3 linked regions of the Caenorhabditis elegans genome follow. The protein of the gene in region 2 interacts with the protein of the main gene of each other region in a pairwise test. Each region holds a gene or a part of one and is shown on either strand. Other genes may lie near its edges.

Region 1 (5,253 bases), on a different chromosome or scaffold from region 2:
CCTTACGGATTTTTATCAATTCCACGGTGCTGGTGAATGAGAGTTTGATATATGTCTTCTTCAACCCAGAAAGATGATCTTTCAAATCTAAATCCTCCCGATCCATATGTTCAACTGCTGTCTGGGCTCCGTACTTCTTGGACAGATAACTGGATACTTGGAATTCAAATCCATCCAACGTGGCAATATAGAAATACGGTCGAAATGGGTAACTGATTTTGAAGCGTTCGTCCATATCACTGATGAAGAAATAGTCAACGACCGAAATAATAACTTTGGTTTGCTCGTCGACAAGCTCCGAAGGTTGGATGTTTATCAGAAATCCTTTTTTCTCCTGTAGTCCTGTGTATCTAGAGAAACCAAGCTTCGCATCAATCTCATCATTTGATCTGATCAGGGCAAGCCGCTCTTTGTAGTTTGAATCACTAAAAAAAGAAGATTTTATACTTTCTCCATTCTTGAAACAAACTTTTCGACCGCCTGTGCAAGAATGTCATCCTTGGAGCTCATTGAGCTTGCTGGCGATGACCGAACTTGTCTGAAAATACTGAAAATCAAATAACTAAAGAAAAAACTAGATAAAATGGCAAATTTAAGTTAATTTCATGGGAAATCGAGTTTAAAATGCAAGATTTCGCGCGCTCGGCCAGAGGACGAGTTGGGTGGAATTCTAGGCCACCAGATCATAAAATGGAGGGAAGGAGCAGAATTTGAATTTTAAAGCAATACAATTGAATTTCCGAGAGGCACCACGGAGGCACCACGTTTTCAAGATTTGTTCAAAAACAAGATCTACGAAAACAAGATCCACCAAAACAAAATCTACCTTTTCAAGATCTACCAAAACAAGATCTACGTTTTCAGGATCTGGCACCGTGCCAACTGCGGTTTTCTCTACGCGTGCGTACGCGTGTTGCGTAAATTCTAGAAGAAAATTTCAAAAAATATTCGTTTGAACGCTAAACAACACGCGAACGTAACATCGGAGCATCGTTGTTTCGTTTTCTTCGAGAAAACCGCAGTTGGCACGGTGCCAGATCCTGAAAACGTAGATCTTGTTTTGGTGGATCTTGTTTTCGTAGATCTTGTTTTTGAACAGATCTTGAAAACGTGGTGCCTCGCACCACGGTATCAAGATCTGGTAAAATTCCGGATCTCCGTTTTCCGGATCTACCATTTCCGGATCTACGTTTTCCGGATCTGGCCAACTCTTAAAACGCTATTTTTCTCGGAGAAAAACGTGACAACGATGCTCCGTTGTTAAGCGTCGCGTGTTGTTAAGCGTTTCTTCTAGAAGAAATTTTCAAAAAACAACGTGCGTCGAGTGAATAAAAAAGCGTTTTGTGGGTTGGCACGGTGCTAGATTCGGAAAACGTAGATCCGGAAATCGTATTTCCGGAAAACGTAGATCCGGAATTTCACCAGATCTTGAAACCGTGGTGCCTCATTTCCGACAATATTATTTAGCTGACATTAGACAATTATTAAATTCAAATAAATATTTTTATTCTGTTAAAAATTACAACAATCATCTTACAAATACATATTTTTCACAATCTAAACAACTTCAGTATCCTTGACTCCATATTTCTTCAGTTTCTCGTATGCTTTCTTATGAATAACCGCGTCATCAGAAGTCACAACTGGCATTTTGAATGATTGTTTGAATGCATCAAGTGCTTCGGCTTTTTGTCCTAGTTGTTCGTACACTTCGCCAATGTAGTAGGTATTCGTACTGTAGAATCCGGGCTGAAAATTTGAATTTAACTATAATGATCTGAATTTTTCGTGGCACTATTTACTTCCCAAGTGGAGGAAAATGTTCAAAGTGTAAAAAAATTTGGTCGACAACTTTTCATTTTTGTATGTTTTTGATTGACTATGAGAGATTCACTAAAAGTGTTTGAATTCTGATATTTTTTTACCGAAATCTGTTCAGCCTTTAGGAAATAGTGTAGAGCCTCCTGATATGTGGATGCTGGTGGAGTTGCGAAAATAGCTTTGGCCACCATTCGAGTCGCGTAACCCATATTGGCGAAGGAAAAGTGCCAGACTCCTGAAATTTGAGGTTTTCTTTTTAATTCTCGAAGCGAAATGCAGAAATATCTAAAAAAAATAATGGTTAAGCACCGCCCGCCCCCGTTGATTGAACGGTGAGCTGTAGAGCTTTAATTCGGAATAAACACGGGGTGTCAGAAAGTCTCATTGCGGTTTGATCTACAAAAAATGCGGGAATTTTTTCCCAGAAAATTTGTGACGTAAGCACACTGTTAACCATGCGAAATCAGTTGAGATGTCTACGTCTCACCTCCCGCATGTTTCGTAGATCAAAGCGAAAAGGGACCGTCTGACTCCACGTGAATAAATTCTAACATGATTTTTCTTTTTTTTTCTCTGTTCAATCCGGAATCCCTTACCCAAAATATGCCACGTTGTTGGATCGTTCTCGAAAATCGATAACGCCTTCTCTAAATGTTTCCGCACTTGGAATGATTTTTCGATTCTCGATTTGTTTCCCTCGATCTCTCCAACGTAATCCAGTAGAATGGCATACCTAAAGATAGCCATGTGGCATAGAAAATGCTAAAACTCAGCCGCCAAAAAAGGCAGGTGCTCAGTTTTCGATTTCCACCCTCAGTCATAGTTTTTTTTTCTCGCAAAATTGTGTTGTTCTACCCGGAATAAATAGCGTTTTAACTCCAAATCGTACCATTTATGTGCTCCAAAGCATCCATTCTTTGGCTCATTGTCAAGAGCTTTTTTCACAATTCCATAGGCTTCCAAAATGAGCTCTTTTCGTTGATTTTGATCTTTTGAGAGTTTTCCTTTCTCACAAACCACACGTGCCAGACGCCATAGAAGCTCGGAGCAATTGGAATTTTCAAATCTTAAAAATTGGAAAGAAAAGTTAAAATGGACATTTCTAAAAGTTAATTGAAAATTCACTTTTTCAAAATATTATAACAATTATCGATTAGATAATTATCATAAAGTTCATCCGAATTTCGAACAATTAAATCGAAATTTTTCGGTTTTCCATCAATTAATTGTCCATTTCCTGAGTCCAAATTCTTGTTCTCTTCAGTTTTTCCAAAAAATGCGATTCCAAGCGAGGTTCCACCAGTGATTGCAATTAATTTCGGAAGTTTTGGAGAAGATGTCGGGCGGCGAGAGAAATTCGAAATAAAACGGAGATTGAATACTCGTTTGAACATTTTTTTTCTTCAGAGGCTGCAAAAATTAGACAATTTTAAATAAATTATAAATATTGAAACAAAAATATATTATTAATTTCGATGGCCTTTTTCCAAGTACATAGGTAATTTTTCAAAAAACTCATACTCAAAGACGCATTCACTGAATTATTCCAACCCCCTAATTCCGAATATCTTTAAATTTTTTAAACTAAAAAAGCCTTAAATTTATCGTTTTTTTTTTCGAAAATTCGGATTTTCATCGAGTTGTGATTTGGATATAATAAAATGTTCAATTGACACGGAAAAAACAATTTTCCAAATAATAACCAAAAAAAAAGTTTTTGAAAAAACATGACAGATGGTGAAAAATCCCGTAAATCGACACAGCACGGTGCGCCCCAATGAGACTGCCTCTGGCGCGTTAAGTTTTGGGTGCGAGATTTCAAGCTGAAATATTAAATCCGAGAAGTTTTTTTTTAATTTCACAAAGATATTCGGAAAGAGTCATACGCCAAAACCTTTTTCGAACAAAATGAAAATTTGAAAATTAATTTTGAACACTCGAAAGGGAAAAATTTTGCGTTCAAACTGGTTCCAGGCAAGTTTTAGAAAAATTCTCGTAGGCTACTGAGAACGCTATAATGTTGTCAGCATTTCACAGTTCAAAGTACAAGTGGTGTAAAGGTAAACACTGATAAGTGATAATGAGAGAAGAGAGAAAAAGTTCGGCCAAGCTTTATGAAAATCGATTTGAAAAAAGGGGTAAAAACAATGCATTAGGGAGATTCTAACTTTTAAAAAAGACGTCTAAAAATTGTTTAAGAAAATGAGGAAAAATCATAAATTTTACACGTAAAAAAGATAAGGGGCGGGGGTTTTAATCGAAAAAAAAAAGTTAGAAAAAGTTTAATTCATTCACAAAAATTCTCTTTTTTTGCTTTCTCAACAGCGTGTCGACGCTGGATGAATTCGCGAAAATTCGCATTAAATTCTTTAAAACTCGGATAGCTTTTCAGTTGAGCACGAATCCATTTTGAGACACGAGCAGACGAGGCTCCGCCCACAAGATTTCCAGTTTGACGTTCTAGGCGTTCATCGATCATTAGCATTGCTCCCCAGTCGTTTTTGTGCCGGAGACATCTGAAGATTTAATGAATTTTAGATTGTAGTGAAATTTGGCCAGATGGTTTTTCTACTGATTCCCTTATTTCACGTGATATTATAGATTTGATATTACGGGAACACTAAATCCTGAGAATGCGTATTTTACAACATATTTGACTCGCAAAATATCTCGCAGCGAAAATTACAGTATTTCTTTAAAAGTAGCGCTTATGCCGATTTACGGGCTCGATTTTATTTTCGAATTTGGACAGTGATATTCAATTTTCCTTCGTTGTTCGTATTGTTTAGTCATTTTTGTACTTAAAAAAATTTTATTCATTAACCAACTGTTTTAATAGAAAAAAACGTGTAATATTGCCTTCATTTTGATGAGGAAACTCCTATTTACAAACGTATTTTTACATTATTTCCCGTCTATTGCAGGTTTTCCAGGTGAAACCCGGCAATAGACGGAAAATAATGTAAAAATACGATTGTATGAGTTTCCTATAAGGCAATATTGGACGTTTTTCATTTAAATATTTTTTTTTAACACAAAAATGACAAAACAATACAGAAAAAAAAAGACAAATTAAATACTGCTGTCAAAATTCGATTAGGAAATTCGAAAATCGAGCCCGTAAATCGACACAAGCACTACGGTAGTCATTTAAAGGATTACTGTAGTCTTCGCTACGAGATATTTTGTGCGTCAAAAATGTTGCGCAAATTTCAGAATTATGTGTTACAGTAGAAAATTGCTGTGTTTTGAACATTTGTAGCATAGCATAACATTTTTTAAATAAAAAAAACGTAGTTTTTATTCCACGCGGCTTTGTATATATATTCACCTTCCCAAAGCCTGATTCAATGCTCGATAGGCCTGCGTGGTATACCACTCATCGCCAGTCAAAATCCCCTTTTCCTTGGAATTCTGATCATTATACAACTT
Region 2 (9,595 bases):
ATTACAGTATCTAATATACAGTTATCTAAAATTTTGAGGTCAGCGCGGCAATTGCAAGTAACATAAATTTTCTACAATTTTGGAAATTGCCAAAATTGCATAAAAAATATATTTTCTTAAAAAATGCCCACAGCACAAAAAATTTAAACTTTGTAAGGGAGGTTTGAAAATTTTATCTTGAAACTAGTAATATAAGATTAAACCTTTTAAATTTCAAAGTATATTTAAGTTTTTTGAACTTGCGAACGTTAAAATGTCTCAAAATTGATTTTAGGAGGTGCCTTACTAAATTAAAATAGTAAAAAAATTATTCAAAGTTTCATTAATTTTTAAAAAACTATACAACATTTCCGGTCATCTTTCCATTTTTTTCCAGCAACATTTATCCTTAAAGATCCCAAAAAAATATTTTTCACAGGTAAAATTTCCGGGTTATCACTTCCCAATGCTCAACCAACAACCTGCTCTGTCAGATACAAAAGCTTTCAAAAGAGAAGATTAAAGTTGGGGAGGGCAAACGTCACAGATCAGAATTGTATTGGGTGGTAGATTAAGTGTATAGGTGCAGACGTTGTAATGCTATTATAAAGATCAGACATAGAATAGGTTTAAGGTACAAAAAGTGTAATGAAGGGATTATTCCCGTAACATTATTTCAGAGTATACAATTTTGCAACAAAATGTTTTCTAGGAATCCTCTCAAAGTGCCCGTAAAACGTCGGCTGCAACAAAAAACCCCCGCGATTTCAAAAATTTCATTCATTTTCCTGTCATTTGCGTAAAAAGCCGACAAACTTTAGGTAACCTTTCCCTGGCATTTCAACAAATATTATCAGCTGTCGTGAAAATTTCAGTGATCTTCTGCAGCTATAATTAATTCAATAGGTGATTTAGTATTCTTACCACATTTCTTTTTCACCTTAAAATAATTTCCAATTATCTTTGAACTAAAATTTATACTAGAAACTTGTGTTCAAAGTTGACGCTTTTGGCCAACCCGTGACGTCACACAGAACAGTTTGAGGCGAACCCTAACATTTTGAAAACTTTAATATTAAAAGGAAATAATGTCCCGATTGTTCTTGCACGGACGTTTCGCGGGTTCCGCGGTTCAACCAAGTTCAGCACAGTCCAGAACAGAAACTTTGCGCGTAAATTATGATACAGTAGGTCAATGCCCCTTAAAACGTGTGACGTCACACACTTCTATTTGAGGGGACACATGCCTTCTTCACTTCGAAAAACCTTCAAATTTCAGGGAAGAAGTGCCCAGACTTTGCTCATCCGGAGCCCATCATTGACGACCGTGGATTCAGCCGCTGCGAGCTGAAAACCGATCTGAAAACCGCGTTCCAGTACATGAGACGTAACAAACGACAAATGCGAAATAATTTTTGTTAAGCTTCAGACCTTTTTCTCCAGGAATTGCTCTCTAAACTTCAGTATACCCCTTCCCCACAGTATTCTTGTCCCTCTCTCTCCGGTGCTTTGTAATAAAATGAAACAATGTAAAAATATATAATTTATGGTTTTCTTTTTCTATACAATAATTTCAAGAAATATCAGTTAAAATAAATAAACTCTGAAAATTGAAACAAAACAAAATTGATATTCGGGGATTGGAATTCACACAAAAACTAGAGGCTTTTCATAAAATAAAAACCGAATGGGGGGACAAATTCTGAGAGATTTGAGGTTCAAGGAGCAAAAATTGTTGGGAAAGTACCGGTAACAAGTTATTTGAAATTTTTCTGGAAGTGATTTTTTGTTTGAGACAGTAGTGGGGAAACAAAATAAATTAGAAATCTTTGCGATATGCAATTCAATGGGGCTAGCGATTTTGAAAAATATATTAATTTTAAATTTTTAAAATTTTAAACATTTAAAAAATTTTAAAAGGCAGCCGGGCCCATTTGGAAGTTAAAAAGTGAACTTCCAGATGGGGCAACTGGGCTTCCACAAGCTGGCGGTGCATCCGTAGATCGTAATGGAGCACGTGTAAGATTGATAAGGAACATGAACTCTTCTGGAAGCTGGTGTGATGGATAGAGAATGTCCAGGGCCTGGAGTCCAAGAGCATGGAATACATCGAATTCTTGGGTCTGAAAATTGAATAGTTAGTGTTATACTAGACATCCTACTTGCATGTCAGTCTGGAATACTTGCTCTCAGTGCAACCCTCAATAAAAAATAAAAATTTTGCTTCCTGGCAGACATGGATTAGCATTAGAAGCGTGCAAATTTTGCCCTCAAAGCGTGTTACAAGGCTTCCCCGCTAGATTCTACGTCACACGTTGAAAATGACAAACTTACCAATCTAACGATCTTGGCCAATTTGTTCTGAGATCCGCTGCAATGATCCTTGAGAGCATTGATGATGGTACTTTGAACCTGGTCGACGAGAGGTTTGTTGGTCAATCCAAGTACGTTATGTTCTGAAAAAATTTTGAAATTATGAAATGAGGAGTAGATAAACTTTGCTGAAGCTTTTTAGGGTTTAAATTCTACACACCTGTGTTTCCAGCCAAAAATTGAAGAGCAATAAAGGCGGCGAATGCCTGAGGCTCCCAGTCAACCAATGAGCTGAAGGTTCGTGCTTTGTCAACCATGAATCGAATGATTTGTTGGAAGCAGGCAGGGAACGCGTTCAACGAGAAAAGCTCTCCAGACTCGAACATAATTGTGTCGGTGCTGTTGCCACATCGGTTTGCCACGCGGATTGCCATGATTGCGAAGAAAGATCTGCTGAGGAGGATCTGGAAGTCGGCTGGCTGAATCTCGGAAATTTGTGGCATTGCCATGAGAAGCTTCTTGGTGGCATGAAGCTCTCCGTGCAGGATTCTCAGTGCGATAGTCTCATCGAATGGTTGCATCTAAATGATAAACATTTTCCAAAAGAAATGCTAAATTTCCGACTTACAAATTGCCGGACAACAGTCATATTTGTATGATCTTCAATTGCTTTTCCCATCAAAGCTAGAAGAGGAAGCGGTGGAGATGGTTGATCCTCTGATCTTGCCAACTTCGTCTTTGACGACAAACGTCCACGTCTCCCCGATAGAGAACCATGTCGAACAACTGAAATATCACAAATAATGAACATTTCCCAAAGGGTACACCTACTTTCTTTGACCATGCCGACTTCCAAACACTTTTGATAGCGACAGTACTGGCACCGACTACGGTATCGCTTGTCGATTGGGCAGGTCTTGTTACCAGCGCAAGTGTATTTGGAGTTCTTCTGCACAGTTCGCTTGAAGAATCCTTTGCATCCTTCGCAAGTTCTGGCTCCATAGTGCAGGCAAACAGCTCGATCATTGCACACAGCGCACATTTTGTCAGCGTCAAGAGCTGTTTCCGATGGGACACCGAATGAGGTTGGTGTGGAGAGGTTGTCGGGGTTGAGGAAGGATCTGAAAGTTTTCTTTTTTTTTTAATTTCAAATTTAAAATATCAAATTTCAAATTTCAAAAACGAACCTTAAGAAGCCTTGCAACTGCGGGGGTGACGTTGGCAGAGAGCTTGAATGAGGCGATGGTGTTCCGCCGGTATTGTTCGACGAGCTCGTTGTCCCCTGACTTCCACGCCTGGAATCCGATACCGGAAAGTGTTGAGGATAGAATGGAGATGTGAATGAAGGCATCAAGGGATTCGGCATGAAATCATTCGAAAGTCTGTAAGAAGAAACAATAGAAATCCTCTCGTGGAAGCACCAGCTTATGCTCTCAATGGAGGTTAATCCTCGGCTCGATGTACTACGTAGAAAACACGAAGCAAAAGTAATTCACACGTGGTTATCTGTGACGACACTTACGCGAATGGATTGTAATGCGGTGCGGCGGTTGCCAGGAAAAGATCGTTGTGTGGCATTTGAAATGCTTGCATAGTTGGGTCAAGTTCACTTTTGATATGGGTGATTGAGGCGTTCATTTCGGATGGTAAACGGTGACTGGAGGAGGATGGTTTCTGAAATTATTAAAAGTTTATAATTGTGTGCAGAATGAAGCTCTTACCTGCTCGAATTCTTCGGGGATACTCTCGACTTCGGTTTTCGTGGGCTTTGGTACAGTGTTCACCTGATCGCTTGTCTCCTGCAAACTTTCAATTTCAGACTTTATAAAGCCCATAAGTCCGCTAAGATCATCTCCGAGCCTGACCACAGGCTTGTCAATTTTGCTAGCTGTCCGTTTGCTCATCATAACTGTAGGGTGCAGGGGGGAAGTAAGTATGAATATATGAAAAGTGCGCTTCTATCAAACAGCTGATTAGGCGGCTGCCCAGGAAAATTTCAAGGGGCGGAGTCCAGAGCCCTGAGCATTAGCTGCGACAAAAGAGCATACACGAGGAATTATGTCAGTCCACGCCCCGAGACCACCTAAGAGTGATGACGACGTCGCTGACAGAAGCCAAAAAAGAATGAGAGGTGACACTTTGAGGATATAATAGAAACAGGTTTCCCAGAGAGACCATCAAATCAAAATCGAAAGTAAAGAGTTTTCGAGATGGATGAAAGGAAGAAGAAAGACGACAAATTGCGGGGTGTTTCATGCCAAATTTTGGTGTGGACACAGAGGACTGAAGGGGGAGCCAAATGGCACGTGTATCTATCAATTAGCCGGATGATAGTGGGTGTATGTGTTTGAGCAAAACTGAAGGTTAAGCCAGCATTTAAATATTTTTCGGGTTTTCGGACTGTTTATGTGAGGAAGTTAAGAGTTTTTTTGGAGCAGAAAACAAGAAAAGAGCTATGAGAGCTAAACTTTTTGTACTCTTCTCTGGTCTAAAATGACGCAGAGCCTGTGGGCTGAAAATATTTGTTGTAGTCCTCGAAAAATTACCGCCTACATGGCTAAGCAAACTAGAAATAAAGAAATTATCTCGAGAGCTCCAAAAACGTTCTAAAGCCTTAAAAATGCAGGGCGATTTTATTGAGAAATGCTAAAAATGGGTCAAAAATATCAAAAATCATACTTGTTGAAAAGGCCATTTTCGAGCATTTTTTCCAATGGTTCAAGTGGGCAAAATCTGATTTTCAGATAAATCAATATGCATATATTCCTGATTTTGACAGTAATTTTCAATGAAAAGTTGGGTCTAAATTCAGAAACTCGGAGCCATTTTTGTGGGGGGCTACTCTAGTTTTTTTTTTGGGATTTTTGATACATTTTTTTACATTTCTAGACTCTCATAAATTTTGAGCAGTGGGAAAAATTAGAATTTTTTTAAAAAGTTTCTAGAATTCAAATTTTTTAGAGGTTGAAACATTGATTTTGAGTGAAAAAAAATAGTCGACTTCCAAAAACTTCTAAACAACTTGCCAAATTTTCTAAAATGGTCTACTTTTTACAGTAGCCAAAAAAGAAAGCAGCAACATCAAAAGAAACACTACTAATAAATGAATGACATTTTGGTACAAGTGACTTGTTAGCATTAGGGGTCCCACCCCTGCTGCTACTGTCTCTATGACTAATGGCAAATACCATTGCGCCAACACCCAAAAAAAAAGAAAGAGAAAGACTACTACTAGTTGGGTGGAAAAGTTGTAGAATGAATTTGAAACGAGAAATATTTCTCTCCAACCAACACCACTCGTGGCTCTCTCTACAAGTGATCTCACCTATCCAATTATCTTTCTAATAAGCGGGCACGAAATGTGTTGGGAAAGTGCAGGGTGATTCGACAGGAAACAATGACTGTGTTGAGAGGGGATGCCAAGTTTGAAATGAAGTGGGAAACGAGGAGTCGGGTGATATTATTCACATGTTCCCACTCACACCTTTTTTTACCGCCGGAAAAAAGTTCAAAAAAATTATAGCTCAGAAAAGGATTATACCAATTTTCTCCCACAGATTTGAAAAAAAAGGTTTCATGGGAATCTTAAAAAAGTTCTTGGAAAAAGAGCTCACCACAAGAGAATGGAAAAGGCTGTCGAGGTCGGCATCGGTGGTTTTGGAGCCTTTGCGAGACGAGGAAGATGGTCCAAACTCTCCTGAAACCAATAATTAGGAAGAAATGGAAATTTTGTGAATTACCGTAGTCGAATGATGAGGAGCACGAAGAGTTTTTCGACATCTCGCGGAAGAAGTCCCTTCGCAGAGGTTCTTCGTTACGCACGAGGCGTGTGTAGATTTCGATCTTAAAAAATAAAATTTAAATTAAAGTTTTTGCCAGATTTTGTAATATCTCATTTTCCGTTGTTTCTGGGCACATGATTTTTGAGTTTTCTGTTTTTTTGGGATTGTGCAATTTTTGTATTTTTTTTTCTATAATTCTTAAGCCCAAGCCTAATCCTAAGCCGAATCCTAAGCATAAGCCCAATCTTGTTTAGGCTTCCAGAAGATGAGAATAAGAATACTTACTTCGTCCTCCACGCTGGAGCAGGATGAGTAGCTACTATCGACAGAAGCTGGCGAGCAGTTGGAAAACTGAAAATTTACCACATATAGAATTTACCACATATCTTTTCCACCGAACTTTAACAGTTTTTCTGGTACACCTGCCAGTTCGCCTACTCAAAAAAAAAAAGAAATAGGTTAGGGTACCTGATCTTGCAACTCGTCCGTTTGAATACTAAGTTGTTCCATTCAGTCGGACAGACCGCGCATCCGATTAATGAGCGGTCGATATAAGGAGTTGTAAGATTTGAATGAAGAAAGATGAAGAAGAAGTGAGAGAAGAGCTCTAGTAGTGGTCAATCTGAAAATGTTCAGAATTTTAACGAATTTTCAGATTGGGTGAGTGGGAGAGAGAGAGAGACGATCGGGAATTATATAGTGTCAAACAATTGAGAAGGCGGAGTAGCAGCTCGTGGCGCGTCATCAGAAGCACCTAAAAATGCACATGTGCAGGTGATTTGACACTGTGACAACTGATCGAGCAGCAACACTAAAAAAGTCAACAACATGTGTTCTTGCCCGTCTTGAATGGAATATTCACCTGCCCGCGCCTTGATTATCTACGTAATTTCAGGAAAGGAATTTTGACGACACCACCGGGCCGGCTAAAATTAGAAGTGGTCACTCTAAAAGCAGAATCAGCCTTTTTTTCATTGTTTCCAATTCTGTGAGCTCAGAGTTTAGCGATCGAATCGCTTCGATATACTATGTAGGTCAGCTCTCAAAATCAATGAGGAGATCCCAATGTACAGGTGAGTGGTTACTGTAACAGTTAACTTCTATGCCTGCTGCCGTGCCTACAACTGACCTACGGCTACTGTTATCTGCATTAGGGGAGTTGAAGGCACGCAGGTAGGCATAGGTACTTGCAAACCCATCAGTTAGCATCTATGTCTAGAGCTAATTAATCTCTGAGCTAGTTTGTGACTTCATCACAGGTGCAAGATATTTTGTACGTAGACAATTTAAATCCAAAAATGCATGCAGAGTGGGAAGTGTGAAAAGGTCGGAAAATTGCGTCAGCTGCTGCTCTAGACAATGGAAAAAAAGGAAAAAATAGAAAGTATGTGCACCGGTGAAATTATTTAGTCATTTCAAGGGCATTTTCATGATAAGGAGAGTTGTTCGGTAAATTGGGTGCTACGCAAAAACTAATGCAAAAGTGAAAAATATTTTTTGCATAAATGATCTACAGAAAAATTATCTTTCCGGAACAGTCGGAACAATAAATTTCTACGACTAAATGAGCATTATTATATACCAGAAACCGTAAAGGGAACTTATGATATCACTTCCTCCCGCCCATCTCACGACACATCATAACTGATCTGAACAATGGATCATTTTCCGAAAAACATACAAACCTCCGGGGGGATGTTCTAATTGGTTTGTCTATCTAGTTCTAGCTCCTGTGAGTAACAAGGCGTATCAGAAAACATATTTGGAAAAATATGCTAAATAGTAGGAAGGAAGCTGTAAATTACAAGAAAAACGTACATGTTGAGAAAAAATTTTGCGGTTTGTGGGAGCATTAGGAAATCTTTCGCAATGCACTGTTGCATAAGACTGTAGATAAAATTTGAGTTAGGAAATTTTTTTCGAGGAATCGGTTTTTGAGAGAAATGAGGGGCGTTAATTCTAAAAAATGTCCTATTGCACCAGGTGCAATGAGACCAAAATATTTTGATTTGATTATTTGATTAATTTGAAAATAGCATTTATTTGAGCTAAAACATTTGAATAAATGCTCAAAATAGCCTAGAAGTTGTCAATTGCTAGACAATTCGATAATGGATGAATGGCAATTTCCAGGTTATTTTTGAGAATTTTCTAATATGTTTCAGCTAAAATATTTGTTATTTTCGAATAATCAGGTACATCATTTTCTATAGTTTACACTAATTTTAAACGAAAAAAGTTAGATGGGGCAATTTTGTAGACCTATCCTTTGCTCTCATACTTTTTGGAAGCAGGCTCGCTAACCCCCAAATGTATTATAAAATTAGAAATTTTTCGCCAAGAAGGTCAAGAAAAACTGACTCAAAATCTGAAAACCTCCGCTTTAAAACGGTTTTCGTCCCATTTCCCCACCCCTTTTACCTACGAAACAAATAAAATAAAGTGACGTGATGAAGTGCTTGTAAAAAGCAAGAAACCACTGATAAACGCTTGTACGGAGACGAATGATAACACGATCAAAGACACACAATGCACCGGGAGTCTGTAGATAGTTTACTCCAAAGCGTGAAGCTCTATCAGAGATCAAAGCCACTAGGTTCGAGAGACGGCGAAGGCGACGGTGCATGTGTCTCATAAGTGAGTAATAGCTCAGAACTAAGTCATTGTTCCAGCTCTAGTGACTAATTTTGATACTGTCCAGCACTCTGACGTAAACATCGCCCACACTCGGTGACGAAGTGCTTCTTATCAATGAAACTGAAGTATGTAGGAATCTACAGGAAACAGTTGACCCCCCCAATTCATATGTCATTGTGTAGTTTGAACTGGACTGTGGAAGGTGAGTTGAACGTTTTGATCTATTGATAAGAGATGAGTTATAGTTATAGACCTCCTGGGTGCAGCAAGTAGTCAACAACTTGTAAATCTTGGTTTGATCTACGAGAATTGTGGGAATCTCTAGAGTGTCACTTTTTTTTTTGAGAGAAAACACCGCATTTTTTGTAGATCAAACCGTAATGAGACAGCCTGACATCACGTGGTAAATTAGCTGCTAACTCGAATTAGAATTTAAAAATCAAAAAGAAGCATGCTAAATGAACGCACATCAGTGTTCCATGAATTACCGCAGGGCCCTATAGACTAGTAAAAACTATTTGTTAGATTATTTTCAGAATGCTAGGTCAAAACTTGGCCACACTGAAAGTGCGGCACTTTCGTGAAATTCCCTCCTATTTGGGCTTTCGTAAGGGGATTAAAACATCTAAAGAATTACACTACTAGTCTGCCTTTAATTTTAGCTGAGAAATCTATAACTTTAGTTTATACCTAGAATTTGGCACAAAACACACCTCAACTGAATGCATTCATCGAGACTGTTTCAAAACTACGTTTCATGACATCAAATGATCTTCCGAATTCGGAAACAATTACAATACTACTGATAAAGACTCACTGACCTTTTTTCGTTTTTCGGACAAAAATATCGAGTTTGAACGTGATAGGAGGAATGATGATTTTTA
Region 3 (5,938 bases), 440 kb from region 2:
TAATTTTTTCATAAAACAATTTTAGATTAATTAATAACAAAATGGGTCAAAAACGCATGCAATTTTAGTCAAAAAATAGCGGAAAATCTCTAAAATGAGTAATGTTATGCTGTTTTAAAATGTTGTCCAAAAAAAAAGCTTTTCAATTTACTCGAAAATTTTCACAGAACAATTTCAGATTATTACATATCAAAGTGCTCCAAATAAATTTCTACAGTTTCAATAAAAATTTAACTGAAAATCTTTAAGTAACAAAGTTCAGGGGTTTCGAGTTTTTAAAAAATGTTCTGTCACCTTTTTTTTGTTGATAATTTTAAAAAGTTTTCAATCTTGAAAATAAATTATTTCTACTTTTAGATTATTAAATATTGATAAAGTATAAATATTTTCTACATTATTTAAAGGTTTTTTTTTTAATTTTCTCCAAAAAAAAAGTTTCACAGAACAATTTTAGATTGCTATGTAGCCTATAGCAAAACCGTCCAAAAATTTGTTTTTTACCTAATTGGCTGAAAATCTTAAATTGGAAGAGAAATTAAAATTACAACATATTTTCAAAAAGAAAAAAAAACAATTTGCCCTCACTTCACTTTTTTCCTTTTTTTTTAATTCTCAAATAATTGTGTCCTTCCAAGAAACAGGAAAACTAATAAAACGTCATTCATGTTTACCCTCTATCATCTTTACCACACATTTCGTCAAAGTAAATTTTAGTTGTGAGAAAAATATTTCGATTTCGAAAAACACTACCTAGAATTGACAAAAATAACACATTTAACTAACTCCCACAAAATATAGCCCATAAAAATTCCTTTATTTTGATAGTTTAACTTTTTTTGTAGCTCTTCTCCCCACGGAGATATGCGCTTCCAAAGTTTAGACAGCGAGAGAGTGTGGGAAGAGGTGAGACGCCGACTGCACGCGCAGTCTGAGTCTCCTCTCACCCCACACTCTTTAGTCACCTTCACCTTGAAACGCTGATATCTTGGCTGGGAAAAGAGATATTTAAAAACTTTTAACTAATGAAATGTTTGAAATTTTAAGGGCTATATTTCAAATATAAAAGTTAATTGATAAAAATACTGTTATAGCTATAATACTGCTTTCAGGTCGGAATCAACTACCAACCACCAACGGTAGTCCCAGGAGGTGACCTGGCAAAGGTACCCCGTGCCGTGTGCATGCTCTCCAACACCACCGCAATCGCTGAAGCCTGGGCTCGTCTGGACCATAAATTCGACCTAATGTATGCGAAGAGAGCATTCGTCCACTGGTATGTTGGTGAAGGAATGGAGGAAGGAGAATTTAGTGAGGCTCGTGAAGATTTGGCTGCTCTTGAGAAGGATTATGAGGAAGTCGGTGTGGACAGTATGGAGGATAATGGAGAAGAAGGAGATGAGTATTAGAATATAAAAATAGATCTTGACCCCAAAAAACTCCCCGCTTTTATGATGTGAATTTCCCCAAACTTTAATTATGCTTTGTCTGCCAATTGCTATGCTTCATTTTCTTGAACTTTTACTATTTTCTTTACTACAACGATCAATAAACTTGTTCCAACGGCCTCCATCTTTCACTTTTCAAAAAACAAATACAAGCAGCTTATAGCCCTTAAAATTCCCTATATTTCGATAGTTGGAAATTCGTTCATAGCTGGTCCCTACACCGAGATATACGCGTTCAAAATTTACAGATGCTAGAGAGTGTGGGGTGAGGGGAGACGCAGTGTGCGCGCGCCGCCTGCGTCTCCCCTCCCCATACACTCTCTTGCTGGCTCTGACTTCGAAGGCGCATATCTCAGCGGGGAGAAGAGCTATTAAAAAGTTTTCAACTAACAAAATATGGGAAATTTCAAGGGCTACATTGTGAGTTAAAAAAAATTTTGCTAGCTGCTATAGTTTTTGACACAGCTGTTTTTATGGAAAAATTCATATTTTTAAGCTATAAAAACATTATCAATTCTCAGTTTTTCGGTGCATCCGGTTGATTGTTGGGATGAGCCACTTGAAACTCTGGCAGCTCCGCTAGCTTATTGGAGATTCGAGTAATTATTGGGTAGGGCGTCATGTCCACGTGGTATCTGGCAATTTTTTTTTGAACAAAAATGTGCTTTTTTAAATAATTTTTCCTTACTTTTCTATAGCATTATACACAATTGATGGAAGACAAATATCAGCGATAGAAATTTGATTTCCGACGCAAAAATCTCCAGAGTGCATTTGCAGGAGCTCTTCGAGAGCCTTGAATCCTTTGCTGATGAAGTGTTGGCACCACTGGAAAAATTCACTTTTTAAAGAATTTTTTATTGATTTCTTGAAGTTAAGAGTATAAAAGGAAAAATTAATTCAATTATCGAATTCAGTGCATTAAGAGCTTAAAAAAGTATAATTATAAAAAGTATTATAAATATATAAAAAGTATAATACACAATAGCTACCGCAACCCTGAGGGGTTTCGTGGCAAGACCCCAATATGGGTATCATCTTGAAGCTCTTGGTGAGCTGAATATAAAATTCGTATTTGAAAATCTAAAAAGTTAGGTCTCGACGAGGAAACTGCGAAGTTTTTTTTTTCAAAAAAAAAAAACAAATTTTTATATAAATTTTTTTGGAATTTTTTTTAGAAATTGCTTTAAATTTTCAGATTTTTAGGAATTTTTTTACACCTACAAATACTAACTACTCTATAAAATTTTTTTTGAACTCACAAAATCCCCATAGCCGGGCTCTTTCTCATTGAGCATCAGGTAGATCGGCTTGTTTTGCAGAGGCTGGATATTTGAGGCGATCTGAAATTTTTCTATTATAGCAAAATCGAGAAATTATTTCTGGTCTCACCGCGAAAACAAACCTACCTATTTTGTGGGGGTCTTGGTGAACTTAATTCGAATTTTAAAAATTTTAATACGAAAATAACACAGTTTAATATGTCTATAAATGCAACAAACATACATGAAAAGCAATAGCTCTCGCGCGAGCTTTGAGCTCGGGCTCTTTCGGCAAAAGTGGTGGGTCTGGGTAGATTTCATCGAGATATTCGATTATTGCCATGCTTTCTGTCAGAGTTAGACCGTTGATTTTCAGAATTGGAACTTTTTCCGCAGGATTGTTCCCATGGAATTCTTGCTGAAAATGGAAAAACTTGGAGTTAGGAGCAAAATTTAAAATTTACCTCTTTCTGTTTGTTCAGCAAGTTCACGGGTTGATATTCATAGTCGATCTTTTTCAGAGCAAGAGCTGAAAAAATTTAAAAAAATCCCATATTTTTTTTTGTCTTCTGAAGTTCAGTTACCTGCTTAGATATAGACCTCAAAAATTCCTATATTTTGTTAGTTAAAATTTTTTCGATAGCTCTTCTCCCCGCTGAGATATGCGCGTTTTAAGTTTAGGCAGCGAGAGAGTGTGGAGGGAGGGGAGACGCAGGTGGCACTAGTTGTCTGCGTCTCTCCCCCTTCCACAATGTTTCTTCACGTCAACTTTAAAGGCGCATAACTCTGCCGAGGAAAGAGGTACGAAAAAGTTGTAAACTGGCAAAATATAGCCCTTAAAATATCCAACATTTTGTTGATTGACAATTTTTGATAACTTCGCACTCTGCAGAGATATGCGCCTTTGAAAATTAGACAGCCTCTGCGTCTCCCCTCCCTCCATACTCTCTCACCTTCTTGACTTTAAAGACGCATAGTTCAACAGTAAATCAGGATTTACAGATTTTTTTTTGGAAAACTCACCAGTTCTAACTCTTGACGAACATCCTGAACTCCAAGAGGAGTACAATATAGGTTTTGCTGCCATTTTCTAAAGAAAGTCAATGTGTTTGTGACAATTTTGGAGAAAAGTGATAGTGATGAATGATAATGAATGATAAAGGTCAATAACATGTTTAGGTGAGAAATCGGTGATGTTTGGTAGCAAAACACAAGGTGTAATGATGTTTTAGGTGTAACTTTGCAATGAAGAAAGTTATCAAAAAAATTGTTGACTATTAAAATATAGCCCTTGAAATTTCCTATATTTTATTGGTTGACAACTTTTTTTTAACATTGATAGAAACAGAGATACAAAGGGCTGAAACTGCACGGGTTGTTGCCTGCGTCGCTCCCCGCCCATTCAGTACTTCTTTTTTCAAACGTTAATATCTCTGCTAGGAAAACTGTTCTAGAAAAGGTGCAAACTGAAAAAATATAGCCCTTGAAATTTCCTATATTTTATTAGTTGACAACTTTTTCTAAGTTTTTTTCCCTGCAGAGATATGTATCTTTGAAAATTTGTAGGTGAAAGAACGCGCAAATTTTTTGATGTCTAACTTGTGCCCAATTTCTTACCACAAAACATATTCTGATTATGTTCTCTGACCTGATGTTTGCTCATATCTTATTTTTTCAAATAATACTGGTTTCTAGTTGGAGGCCCCGAAACGTTAAGAAAAAAAATTTTAGGAAAAAAAAAATTGACTTTGATCATTGCCTCCTTATCAGTTTTAACGTACATTCCATAATTTCTTAACATTTTCTTATCACTAAGTGACTAAGTTTGCTCTGAGAGCACATTTTCAGCTAGCAAACCTACATTTTCTTACAATTTTCCCTCGAAATTGTAATTTCGAAACTCTTAAACGGGTAACAATCGAACAAGAATCAAAATTTTAACCAAATTTTAACAATTCAATGTAGCCCTCAAAATTTCCTATATTCTGTCAGTTAAAAACTTTTTATTTCTCTTCTCTCCGTTGAGATATCCGCCTTTAAAATTGACGCCATAAAATAGTGTAGAAGGGGGAGAGACGGAGACAGCGCGCGCTGCCTGCGTCTCCCCTCCCTCCACACTTTCTCGCTGCCTAAACTTTGAACGTGCATATCTCCGCGGGGAGAAGAGCTATCAAAAAACTTTTAACTAACAAAATATAGGAATTTTAAATGGTTATATTTTGTTAGTTGAAACTTTTTGAAAATCTCTCTTAGATTTTGAGATATTTCGGTTTCAACAAAGAATCACTGAAAATCGCTTTTGGATTTGAAATAAAGCTATTTTGGTTCAGGAAATGAAGCATTTTAGGAGAAAACCGCATGATATATTAGAGGACCACATTTTGATCTTTCAAATATTGCTTCCGGCAGATTTATACATTTTTATATATTTTTGTGGATGATTTCAGGGAGATTCAATTTTTTCCAGTTTTTGTAGATAATTTTAATTGCCCCATTCAAAAATGACTAACCAAACTTCCAAAAAACCAAAAAAAAACAAGAGACGATACGCAGAGTACACTGCGATAACATCTGCGTCGTCGTCTCTCTCCACACATTTTGAGAGACCGAGCGACGAGAGAGTGACAATTTGTGAAGAGAGTGGTGAGACGACGAGACACTATCGAATCGCCACCCCCCACACGGACGTATTATACAAGCAAAAAGCCACGTTTTGAATGGCTTAAATCGATTATAAAGTTGACAAACTGCTTGGTTTTTAGTCTTTTTCTTGAGTTTCTTATCGATTTTAAAGGAAATTTGTGGATTTTTATTGGTTTTTAAACAGAAACTAATAAATGCATTGAATTTTTCACTATTAAATGGCTGAAATTGCTGAAACAAACTTTTCCGCTCGAGACCCATACGATAAAACTGCCCCATGCTCCTTTAAATCCACAGTACCACTTTTTTCTTCTTTTTCTTTGGTTTTCTTGTTTTTTCTGTTTTTTTAAAGAAAAATATAAAATAGATGTTTTCCGATGAGTTTATGAAATAAACCCAATTAAAACTAATAGTTTATCAATTTTTAAGCAAGAGGTTTTTTAAGCTCGCTTAAAATGTCAAAAAATAAAATTTCCACTCGAGACCCATCATACAAAATTGTGTGATGCGCCTTTAAAACCACCGTAGCTGTTTCTCTCGATTTTGATTAAATTTAATCGATTTTTATAGAATTTCTGCGATAAAAAT

The links. Proteins that work in one complex are often made in the same cells at the same time.
Region 1: the proteins of nhr-6 (region 2) and F33H2.6 interact in a two-hybrid assay, tested with the Caenorhabditis elegans proteins (one large-scale study listed by BioGRID).
Region 3: the proteins of nhr-6 (region 2) and Y53G8B.1 interact in a two-hybrid assay, tested with the Caenorhabditis elegans proteins (one large-scale study listed by BioGRID).

The regions. Positions count from the first base shown.
Region 1 is NC_003279.8:15,013,365-15,018,617, forward strand, and holds F33H2.6 (Regulator of microtubule dynamics protein 1), read right to left. Parts: upstream 3,232-5,253; 5' UTR 3,216-3,231; coding exon 2,947-3,215; intron 2,888-2,946; coding exon 2,711-2,887; intron 2,555-2,710; coding exon 2,418-2,554; intron 2,057-2,417; coding exon 1,926-2,056; intron 1,750-1,925; coding exon 1,558-1,749; 3' UTR 1,490-1,557; downstream 1-1,489. Other genes in the region: pole-1 (DNA polymerase epsilon catalytic subunit), read right to left, coding at 1-425, 470-510; dog-1 (Helicase ATP-binding domain-containing protein), read right to left, coding at 4,109-4,337, 5,153-5,253.
Region 2 is NC_003281.10:3,570,688-3,580,282, reverse strand, and holds nhr-6 (Nuclear hormone receptor family member nhr-6), read right to left. Parts: upstream 6,703-9,595; 5' UTR 6,585-6,702; coding exon 6,543-6,584; intron 6,433-6,542; exon of another isoform or gene 6,426-6,432; coding exon 6,360-6,425; intron 6,136-6,359; coding exon 6,033-6,135; intron 5,990-6,032; coding exon 5,907-5,989; intron 4,092-5,906; coding exon 4,014-4,091; intron 3,967-4,013; coding exon 3,815-3,966; intron 3,675-3,814; coding exon 3,480-3,674; intron 3,414-3,479; coding exon 3,124-3,413; intron 3,079-3,123; coding exon 2,921-3,078; intron 2,874-2,920; coding exon 2,513-2,873; intron 2,436-2,512; coding exon 2,314-2,435; intron 2,103-2,313; coding exon 1,893-2,102; 3' UTR 1,512-1,892; downstream 1-1,511. Other genes in the region: C48D5.3 (TIL domain-containing protein), read left to right, coding at 1,259-1,401. UniProt on the Caenorhabditis elegans protein: Transcriptional activator that induces gene expression by binding to the NGFI-B response element (NBRE) 5'-AAAGGTCA-3'. Required for proper morphogenesis of the spermatheca and the spermatheca-uterine valve formation.
Region 3 is NC_003281.10:3,127,201-3,133,138, reverse strand, and holds Y53G8B.1 (maleylacetoacetate isomerase), read right to left. Parts: upstream 3,863-5,938; 5' UTR 3,795-3,862; coding exon 3,731-3,794; intron 3,237-3,730; coding exon 3,172-3,236; intron 3,126-3,171; coding exon 2,952-3,125; intron 2,789-2,951; coding exon 2,708-2,788; intron 2,274-2,707; coding exon 2,134-2,273; intron 2,081-2,133; coding exon 1,963-2,080; 3' UTR 1,490-1,962; downstream 1-1,489. Other genes in the region: mec-12 (Detyrosinated tubulin alpha-3 chain), read left to right, coding at 1,110-1,406.